Oryctolagus cuniculus: one gene and its partner. The protein of the gene in region 1 interacts with the protein of each later gene in a pairwise test. Links are inferred from orthologs where the notes say so. Each region holds a gene or a part of one and is shown in the gene's direction. Other genes may lie near its edges.

Evidence for each region.
Region 2: the proteins of HRAS (region 1) and RGL2 interact in binary tests that used the Homo sapiens proteins (3 or more experiments, as listed by UniProt). The link is inferred for Oryctolagus cuniculus from reciprocal best matches to the Homo sapiens genes HRAS and RGL2.

Annotation. Positions count from the first base shown.
Region 1 is NC_091432.1:196,883-201,341, reverse strand, and holds the start of HRAS (GTPase HRas), read left to right. Parts: upstream 1-1,535; 5' UTR 1,536-1,719; intron 1,720-2,595; 5' UTR 2,596-2,643; coding exon 2,644-2,754; intron 2,755-2,835; coding exon 2,836-3,014; intron 3,015-3,091; coding exon 3,092-3,251; intron 3,252-3,347; exon of another isoform or gene 3,348-3,429; intron 3,430-3,797; coding exon 3,798-3,917; 3' UTR 3,918-3,921; intron 3,922-4,459. UniProt on the Homo sapiens protein: Involved in the activation of Ras protein signal transduction. Ras proteins bind GDP/GTP and possess intrinsic GTPase activity.
Region 2 is NC_091436.1:135,823,915-135,828,402, forward strand, and holds the start of RGL2 (ral guanine nucleotide dissociation stimulator-like 2), read left to right. Parts: upstream 1-1,528; 5' UTR 1,529-1,800; intron 1,801-2,000; 5' UTR 2,001-2,041; coding exon 2,042-2,200; intron 2,201-3,431; coding exon 3,432-3,515; intron 3,516-3,716; coding exon 3,717-3,895; intron 3,896-4,026; coding exon 4,027-4,077; intron 4,078-4,166; coding exon 4,167-4,464; intron 4,465-4,488. Other genes in the region: TAPBP (tapasin), read left to right, coding at 102-228. UniProt on the Homo sapiens protein: Probable guanine nucleotide exchange factor. Putative effector of Ras and/or Rap. Associates with the GTP-bound form of Rap 1A and H-Ras in vitro.

The DNA of each region.
Region 1 (4,459 bases):
GCTGCTCAGACCCCCACTTCCCTGCTCCCCCACACTGGCCTCTCCTGAGCCCCCGGGCCCCTGGAGGAATTTCTAGCGTGTTCCTGGCCCCCCTGCTGCTGTCTGGGACCCCCGGCTGTATCCTCCACACAGGCCCTGGCCGCACTCCATCCCTGCTAGGCTTCCCAGGGTCACCTTCCCCAGAGACAGATGTGGGTGGGCGGAAACCACTGCCCAGGGGAGGCGCACACTGCCCACGGCCGGGTTCATCCCCTCCACCCACCGATGCGGCGGGCCTCCTGGACAGGGGGTGCAGTCAGCTGGACTTAGAGGCTTTGGGGAGAGAGCCTCAGGGGTCCGGTCTGGATAGTGACCCACATGCTGAGGACCCAGGAACGCGCAGGTCCCCTGGGGAGCCCCGTGGACTTTCCCTGCTGCCTGCCCTCCTGCAGCTGGTGCCCGGCCCTAGGCCTCCCAGCTAATCCCCACCATGCCCAACTGCCACCTCATCATGGCCAGGGAGACGGGCTGGCCCTGGACGCCCATGGGTGGCCGAGGGTCCTGCCTCAGCCAGGCCCCAAGGGGTTCAAAGTCCAGGGGTTGGAGGCAGCTAGGCCCAAGCCCCCACTCCTGGACACTGCTCCTCTGCCACGCCCCCAAGGCCCGAGGCTGGCGACGGCCCTGGCTCCTCCCTTCACGGCCCAGTACCCAGGGCACACCTGGCTCCCTTCCCATGACCCCACCCTGGAGTGACCCCACCCTGGAGCCAGCCCCAGCAAGTCCCGAGGCGCGGGCGTGGCCTCCGCGGGGACACCTTTTGACCTCTGAGGCTGTCGCTGGGCCCCAGAGGCTCTGCTGAGTCCACCTCGGCCCGGGCTTCCCCTCACCTGCGGGGCGCCGGGGTGCCCAGCCCGGGGCTCGGCCCTGGGTGCCCGCGGCCGCGGCGCTCTCCGACTCCGCCAGTTCTTCCGGCCGCGGGGCTGCGGCCCGGGAGCCATGGCAACCGGGCGGGGCCTCATCTGCATACCAGAATATTCATGAGGCGCGAGCCTCTCACGCGGCGCGCGGCCACGCCCCCTAGCGACGGCTGCAGGGCGGGGGTACCCGGGACCGTGCTGCACCTGCCGCGGCTCCCGCGCGGGAAGCCCGTCCTGAGACCCCCGCCACGGCCAGAGGGGACGCCCGGCGCAGAGCCGCACGCCCCGTTCCCCGCCTCCCGCTTCCTCCAGGGGAGTGCGGGTCTCTGCCCTTCGTGCGTGCAGCAACTTTTGGGCTCGGTCTGATGGGAACTTCGGGCCGGAAGGCGGACCTCTGGCCTTCCCCAGCGCCGGCCCCGCTGCCGTGCCCGCCCCTCCAGCCCGCCACGCGTTCCCTCGGCACCCGCAGAACTCGGTGCGGGGCCCCGGCTCGGCCGAGGCCTGCCGGGCACCGCCCTGCGAGCCACTCCCGGAAGCCCCGCCCGGTCGCGCTTCCTGACGGACGGGCCGCTCAGCCAACCGCGTGGGGTGTGGCTCGGCCGAGCGCGTCCAATGATAGGCTGCGCCGGGCTGACGGACGGGCGCGGGGGCGGGGCAGGCGCGGCCGCGGTCGAGTGTCCGTCGCCCGCTGCCGGCGCCCGCAGCCTGAGCCGCACCCGGCGCGGACGGAGCCCATGCGCGGGGCGAGCCGCGCGCTTGGACCCCGCGCCCGCCCCCGCCCCCGCCCCGGCCCCGGCCCCGGGGGCAGTCGCGCCCGTGAGCGGTGAGTGCGGGCGGGGCGGGGGCGGGGGCCCGGCGCCCCCTCCCGGCCCTGCTGGCGGCGGCGCGGGGCGGGCGCGCGTGCGGGCCGGGGGCGGCGGCGGGGCGGGGGGCGGCGTCCGCGGCCCCTTCCTGGCGTCCCTGTGGCTGCGGGCCCCCGGGACCAGGCCCCGCCTGCGCCATGGCGCCGGGCGCCGTCTCCTCCCCGCGCTGCCCAGGGCTCGGAGAGGCCCAGCGCCGCGGCCACCGTGGCCCTCAGGGCCGCCAGGGCGCCCCGCCCTGCACGCCGCGACCCGGGGCGCGCCGGCTCGGGGTCCGGGCCTCCCCTGCGCTGCCCCTGCGCTAGGGCTGAGCCCCTGTTTGCCGGAACCCCTGCGCGTTTCTCCGAGGACTTTGGGGCCGGTGGACACCCCGGGGAGCCGACATCCTGGGGACCCCAGAGGGCGGGGATTGCGCCCCAGGCCCCCTGTCCCTCGGGCCGCGGCGGCACCTGCATGCGGTGCGCGCTCGGTAATGCTGTTCGGACGCACCCCCGGGCCCGGCGGCTGGCTGACGCTGGCCTGCCTGGGCAGGCTGTGGCCCGGCCGGCCGCGGCAGGACCTGTTCTGGGAGGCTAACCTCAGCCCTCAGGCCCTGCGGGTTGTGCGTTCTGCCTACACAGCAGCTTCTAATTTGGGTGCGTGGTTGGGAGAAGCTCTCAGCTGTCAGCCCTGCCTTTGGGGGTAGGCGCCCTGCCTTGCTCACGCTGTCGCTGGTGCGGCGGGGTGGGGAGGCGGCACCCCTCCCGCCCCCTGGATGGCGGCTGGCCCAGGTGGGCAGCTGGGCCGCCGTCCTGGCCGTCGGAGCTGCGGGCCTGGCTGAGCGTGGCCCTCCTTGGCAGGCGGGGCAGGAGACCCCACAGCGCCGGGCAGCCCGCGAGCAGCGCGCGATGACGGAGTATAAGCTGGTGGTGGTGGGCGCCGGCGGTGTAGGCAAGAGCGCACTGACCATCCAGCTGATCCAGAACCACTTCGTGGACGAATATGACCCCACCATCGAGGTGAGCCCGGCGACCCCTCCCCTGGGCGGCCAGCGCCGGTAGCCTGCCGCCACGCGGTCCCTGAGACGCCGCCTCCCGCAGGACTCGTACCGGAAGCAGGTGGTCATCGACGGGGAGACGTGCCTGCTGGACATCCTGGACACGGCGGGCCAGGAGGAGTACAGCGCCATGCGGGACCAGTACATGCGCACGGGCGAGGGCTTCCTCTGCGTGTTCGCCATCAACAACACCAAGTCCTTCGAGGACATCCACCAGTACAGGTGAGCGCCGCGGGGCGCGCACGGGGGCGCTGGCCAGGCCGGCAGTGCGCGCCCCGGCTCACGCCTGCCGCTCCCAGGGAGCAGATCAAGCGGGTGAAAGACTCGGACGACGTGCCCATGGTGCTGGTGGGGAACAAGTGCGACCTGGCGGCGCGCACCGTGGAGTCCCGGCAGGCGCAGGACCTGGCCCGCAGCTACGGCGTCCCCTATATCGAGACCTCGGCCAAGACGCGGCAGGTGAGCCCGGCCCCGCCCCCAGCCGCCCAGGGACGCCCCGGCCCCACCCCGCCCCCGCCAGGGAGCAGTGCTCACAGCCCCTCTCCCTCGACGCAGGGCAGCCGCTCTGGCTCTGGCTCCAGCTCCGGGACCCTCTGGGACCCCCCGGGACCCATGTGACCCAGCGGCCCCTCGCGCTGTAAGTCTCCCCGGACGGCAGGGCAGTGAGGGAGGCGAGGGCCGGGGTCTGGGCTCACGCCCTGCAGTCCTGGGCTGACGCAGCCCCAGGGGAGGGGGGGTCCCTAGAGAGAGCTGCCCTGAGCCAGGCTGGAGCGGTGACCCTGGGCCCCTGCCCCTCTGTCCCCAGTGTCCCACGGGTTCCTGTGGGTTCTGAGCCCTGTAGCTCACCAGCCGGGCGCAGAGTTGGGGTGGGGAGGTGAGCCTGCCCACGGGGGCGGCCCGGGAAGCTGCCGACGAGCAGGGAGGGGCAAGGGTTCAGCCTGAGCCCTCGGCGGGAAACAGCGGGTCCCCCGGTGGCCGCGCCCTGAGCCCGCTCCTCCCTTCCAGGGCGTGGAGGACGCGTTCTACACGCTGGTGCGGGAGATCCGGCAGCATAAGCTGCGGAAGCTGAACCCGCCCGACGAGAGCGGCCGCGGCTGTCTGAGCTGCAAGTGTGTGCTGTCCTGAGCAGGTGAGCCGGGGCCGCCGGCCCGTGGGTTCCCGCCCGGCCCCACGCCCCCGCCCGGCCCCACGCCCTTGCCCGGCCCCACGCCCCCGCCCGGCCCCACGCCCCCGCCCGGCCCCACGCCCCTGCCCGGCCCCACGCCCCCGTGTGCCCCACGCCCCTGCCCGGCCCCACGCCCCCGCCCGGCCCCACGCCCCCGCCCGGCCCCACGCCCCTGCACGGCCCCACGCCCCCGCCCGGCCCCACGCCCCCGCCCGGCCCCATGCCCTTGCCCGGCCCCACACGTGCCCCACGCCCCCGCCCGGCCCCACGCCCTTGCCCGGCCCCACACGTGCCCCACGCCCCCGCCCGGCCCCACGCCCCCGCCCGGCCCCATGCCCTTGCCCGGCCCCACACGTGCCCCACGCCCCCGCCCGGCCCCACGCCCTTGCCCGGCCCCACACGTGCCCCACGCCCCCGCCCGGCCCCACGCCCCCGCCCGGCCCCACGCCCCCGCCCGGCCCCACGCCCCTGCACGGCCCCACGCCCCCGCCCGGCCCCACGC
Region 2 (4,488 bases), on another chromosome or scaffold:
GCCCCATGCTTCTCCCACAGAGGTTCACGTTTGTGGATGGGCCCCTCAGCCTACCTCCTTAAGTCCCCCAATTCCTTACCCCCTTCTTGCTTCTCTTCCAGAAAACCCAGTGAGGGCACCCGCCACCACCACGCGGACGCCTCCATCATCTCTGGCCCGAGCTACTGCAGTGGCCCCGCAAAATATTACCGCACCATCTGCTCCTACTCCCTCGTTTCCCGCCACTGAGTGGCTTTTCTAAAAGACACAAATCACAGGGCATTCATCTTCGAACTCTAGGGCAATGGTTCTCACAGTTTTTGGTCTCAGGACCTCTTAGAAATCATCAAGGACCTCAGAGAGCTGTGTGCATGACGAGTAGCGCTATTTACCGTATTTAAAGCTATTTACCGTATTTAAATGACACGCACACGTCCCATTTGCTGTGAGGGGGACGGTGTGGCTTCACATCAGGTGGCTTTCTGGGCAGCGCCACCGCACACTCCCTGAAAATGATGCTGGACACGATGTTGGCGCGATCCGCTCTTGATTCTACATACCCCCCCCCCCCCAGAACTAGACTCGGGGGCCTCGGGGACAGAGACCACACTTGAAGAACCAGGGCTCTAGGGCCAGATCCATTCTTCTGGCTCCTGCCAACGTGTCCCCTCGCGCGGGAGCCCCCAGCCTCCTCCCGGCGCCCCTTCCACAGGACGGTTCTCCTTTCCCCCGGTGAGCTCAACGCCGCCCGCCGGGCCCGGGCTCGGGCCCCAGCGCTCTGCCCCCTCTGCTGGTCACCCCTCACGCTCCCTGCGCTCCAGGCCGGGTCAGCCTCCTCGTCCTCCCGGGCTGGGGGCTTCTCCAGGGCAGGCAGCGGCCCGGCGACGCCCACCAGAGGGCGCTCCTCTAAAAGCTGCTGATGCTGGAGGACGGGAGCGGCGACCGCGCGGCTTAGGGACTCTGAGGGGCGGGGGTCGGGTCTAATCGTGTGGCAATAAAGTTGTCTTCCGGTACTTCCAACTGGATCTCATTCTGCCCCAATGAACCTTCCAGTCACATCGGGCCCCGATCTCCCAAAGGGGCCCAGAGCATCCACCACCCAGGCGAAACAGTTTGAGTGCTCGCCACAGGTCGCCAAGGAGCCGACTCCCCGCGGGAGCGAGACGACGCCGCGCGCCAGCGGAGGTCCGGGCCCCGAGCACCGGAAACCCCGGAGCCCCGAACCTGGGACCGGAAGTGGCGGCTTCCTGTCCCGCCTCCTCACAAGAGGGCGGGAACTGGGGGCTCTTCGGAAAACCCGGAGTGGATTTCGGTCCGCTGCCAGGCTTGGTTGCAATGGGGAGTGTGGCCCGGGGGTAGGAGCCCGGGGTCTTTCCCCGCCTAGAATGCTTGCCGCGGGAGATTTAGCCTCGCTCTTGTGGAGAAGGCATTGTTTAATTCTGCATCTGTCCTCCCCGGGGTCTAGAGACTGGAATCTTTAGTCCCACTCAGTGCGCGGCGACGTGGGCTCCGGAATCCCCGAGTGGGGGCGGGGAGGACACTGGCGCCGGGGACCCGCGCTCCCGGGTCCCGGACCCTGGGCCGTCCAGCGCTGCCCTGGTCCGCGGCCCTGGCTCCTGTTCTCACTTCCTTCCCCTTTTGGCTCCTGCTCTCGGAGCGGGCGGACGCGGGGGGGAGCGGAAAGGGCGGGAGGGCCAGAGAGCGGACGGAGGGGTGCAAGGGGGGTGGTGCGGCGAAGCCGAGGAGGGGACTCGGTCGGGGGCCAGAGGACGACCGGAACAGCGGCCTGGGACCCACGCTGCCCCCACCCCTCCCGAGCAGGTCAGAGCCAGAGCACCCTGTGACCCTGCCCGCTCCCCGTCCTTGTGAGCCTCTCCTCTGCAGAGCGCACCCAGGGCCCCCAGTGTCCAACCCCCGCGTCGCCCGCCTGCCCCGGCCTCCTGCAGGACTCTCATCTGGGCGCCTGGACGCTCGCGCCCGCCTGACCCCGCCACCCGCACCCCTCCCCCGTCTCTCTCCAGGCGCCCCCATGGCCCGACCCCGCTGACTCCTGCACTCGGCCATGCTCCCGCGGCCCCTGCGGCTGCTTTTGGACACGAGCCCCCCCGGGGGAGTCGTGCTGAGCAGCTTCCGGAGCCGAGACCCCGAAGCGGGTGGGGACCCAGGTGGCCGGGTCGTGGGCGGGGGGCAGGCGCAAGAGGAGGAGGAGGAAGAAGAAGAGGTGAGACGCGGGCGGCGGGAGGCAGGGGCGTGAACGTGGCCGAGACTGTCCGCCTTTCTCCCGCTGCCTCTGGGCCCTGCCTCTCCCCTCCCTCCCAGCTCCAGGGACTTCCGCGCCTCGGCCTGGGTGTGTGCCAGCCGCCCTGCCGCAGGGAGTGCTGGCGTCTGTGGTTTGTGTCAGTGCGGCTCGGGAGCTGTCCGCAGGAACATGCCCTGGTCCTGCCCGGCCGTCCCGGCTGGTCCCCGGCCTTCCCTGCCTACACCTGAGAGTGCCCGCCTCTCTGGGCGCTGGGGTCGCGCTCCCCGTCGCCCTCCTGGGTTTTGTTTGGCGGGGAGGGGTTTGTTGCCACAGTAACCAGCTTCTCTGACTCTGGGATTGGGGAGGGAACCCTCTGGTTTCTTGACCCCTCCCCTTCCCAGCGTCCCTCCCCCTCCCGCTGCCTGGTGCTTAGGCCGAGGCTGGACACACGGGGTGGTCATCTGCTTTTCCTGGGGACGAATGATGGTGGCCAGGAGCAGGGTTTGGGGCCTCAAGAGAGGCCGGAAGTTGGTTTTGGGGCCCTCGGGCCCTGGACTCCCGGGTCCAGACCTGAGTGAAGGCAGGGAGACTGGCAGGGCTGGTTTTTCGAGATTGGCAGGGGGGAGGGGCTGGGGCCACGTGACTCTTGAATCCACCCCCCCCATCATCCCCACTTCCCCTTCTCCTTCCTGTATTGGGATTGGAGCAGCTACCTTTGGGGTCCCCAGGACTGAGATAGTGGAGGCCCCCTAGCCGGGGAACCAGGGTAGAAGAGGGCGGGGGAGAAGGAGGGTCCTTGGTTGGGAGGGCGGGGCATGAGGCCGCTCTGCCGGTGACTGGGCTTTCAGCTTCTCTGTGCCTCTGGTGCTCTGCCTCTCCTGCCCTTTGCGCCCTGCTCCTCTGCTGTGTTGGGGTTCAGCTCTGGGGGGAAGGGGCTTTGGGGGTCTCCAGGATCAGAGTTTCTGCACTCCATCCGCTCCCCAACTGCAATCCCCTCGACTCCATCGGGCCCTGAGGCGGCTAGGGGGGGGCTGTCTGGGCCCCAGTGGGAGAGACCTGGGGTCGCCAGCCCCCCCGGCCCCCCGCACCCGCTGGTACTGGTCCCTGCCGCCACAGGTGAGGGGTGCAGAGGGAGGCGGAGGGCCCGGGCGAGGGCTGGGCAGTGGGCGGTGGTGTGTGGAACTCTATGACTTCCCCTTCCTCGCCGCTGCAGGCCCCCGTGTCTGTGTGGGAAGAGGAGGAGGATGGCGCCACGTTTACCGTCACAAGCCGCCAGTACCGGCCTCTTGACCCCTCGGTGAGATGGTGGCTCTGACTCCGCTCTGGCTGACTTTCTGGCCCGAGTGCTAGGTTGGACATCTGCTGTCCTGATGGTCTTTGGCCCCTCTCTGGGTCTCAGCAACATGAACTGGCTTAACGTCTAGATCTGGGACTGTCCCCGAGACCCAGGGGCAGAACTGAGGGCGGAAGTCAGTGATGGGTCTTCTGCATCCTGCAGGCTCCCCTGCCTCCCCCGCGTTCTTCCCGACGGCTCCGAGCTGGCACCCTGGTGGCCTTGGTCAGACACCTGCTGGACCCTCAGACGTCAGGGGCTGATGTGACCTTCGTGTCCGCCCTCCTGGCCACCCACCGGGCCTTCACCTCCACGCCTGCCCTGCTAGGGCTCGTGGCTGACAGGTGAGGGACCTAAGGGACCAAGGATCATGGCGGTGTCGGGATTTCCTGAAGCCCCCAGCATCCCACAGCGGGGCGAGGCGGGGCGAGGCGGGCAGGGGGATGTGGTTGGAGAGATGTCCTTCCCTCTGCAGACTGGAAGCACTTGAGTCTCATCCTGCTGATGAACTAGAGCGGACAACAGGGTGAGTGACCCCGGATTCTTAGCCTCGCCGTCCCCTCCGCACCAGCTGCAGCCTGACCTCTGACCCTTGGCTGATTCCCCTTCTCCCAGGGTAGCCATCTCTGTCCTGTCCACCTGGCTGGCCTCTCACCCTGAGGATTTTGGCTCTGAGGTCAAGGGTCAGCTTGACCGCCTTGAGAGCTTCTTGCTCCGGACAGGGTATGCAGCAGGGGAGGGTGTTGGGGGGGGCACCGCTGACCTCATCCGAAACCTCCGGTCTCGGGTGGACCCCCAGGCCCCCGACCTTCCTAAGCCCCTGGCCCTCCCCGGCGATCCCCCTGCTGACCCCACGGATGTCCTGGTGTTCCTCGCTGACCACTTGGCCGAACAGCTGACCCTGCTAGATGCGGTGAGACCCTGACCTTTGCCCCCA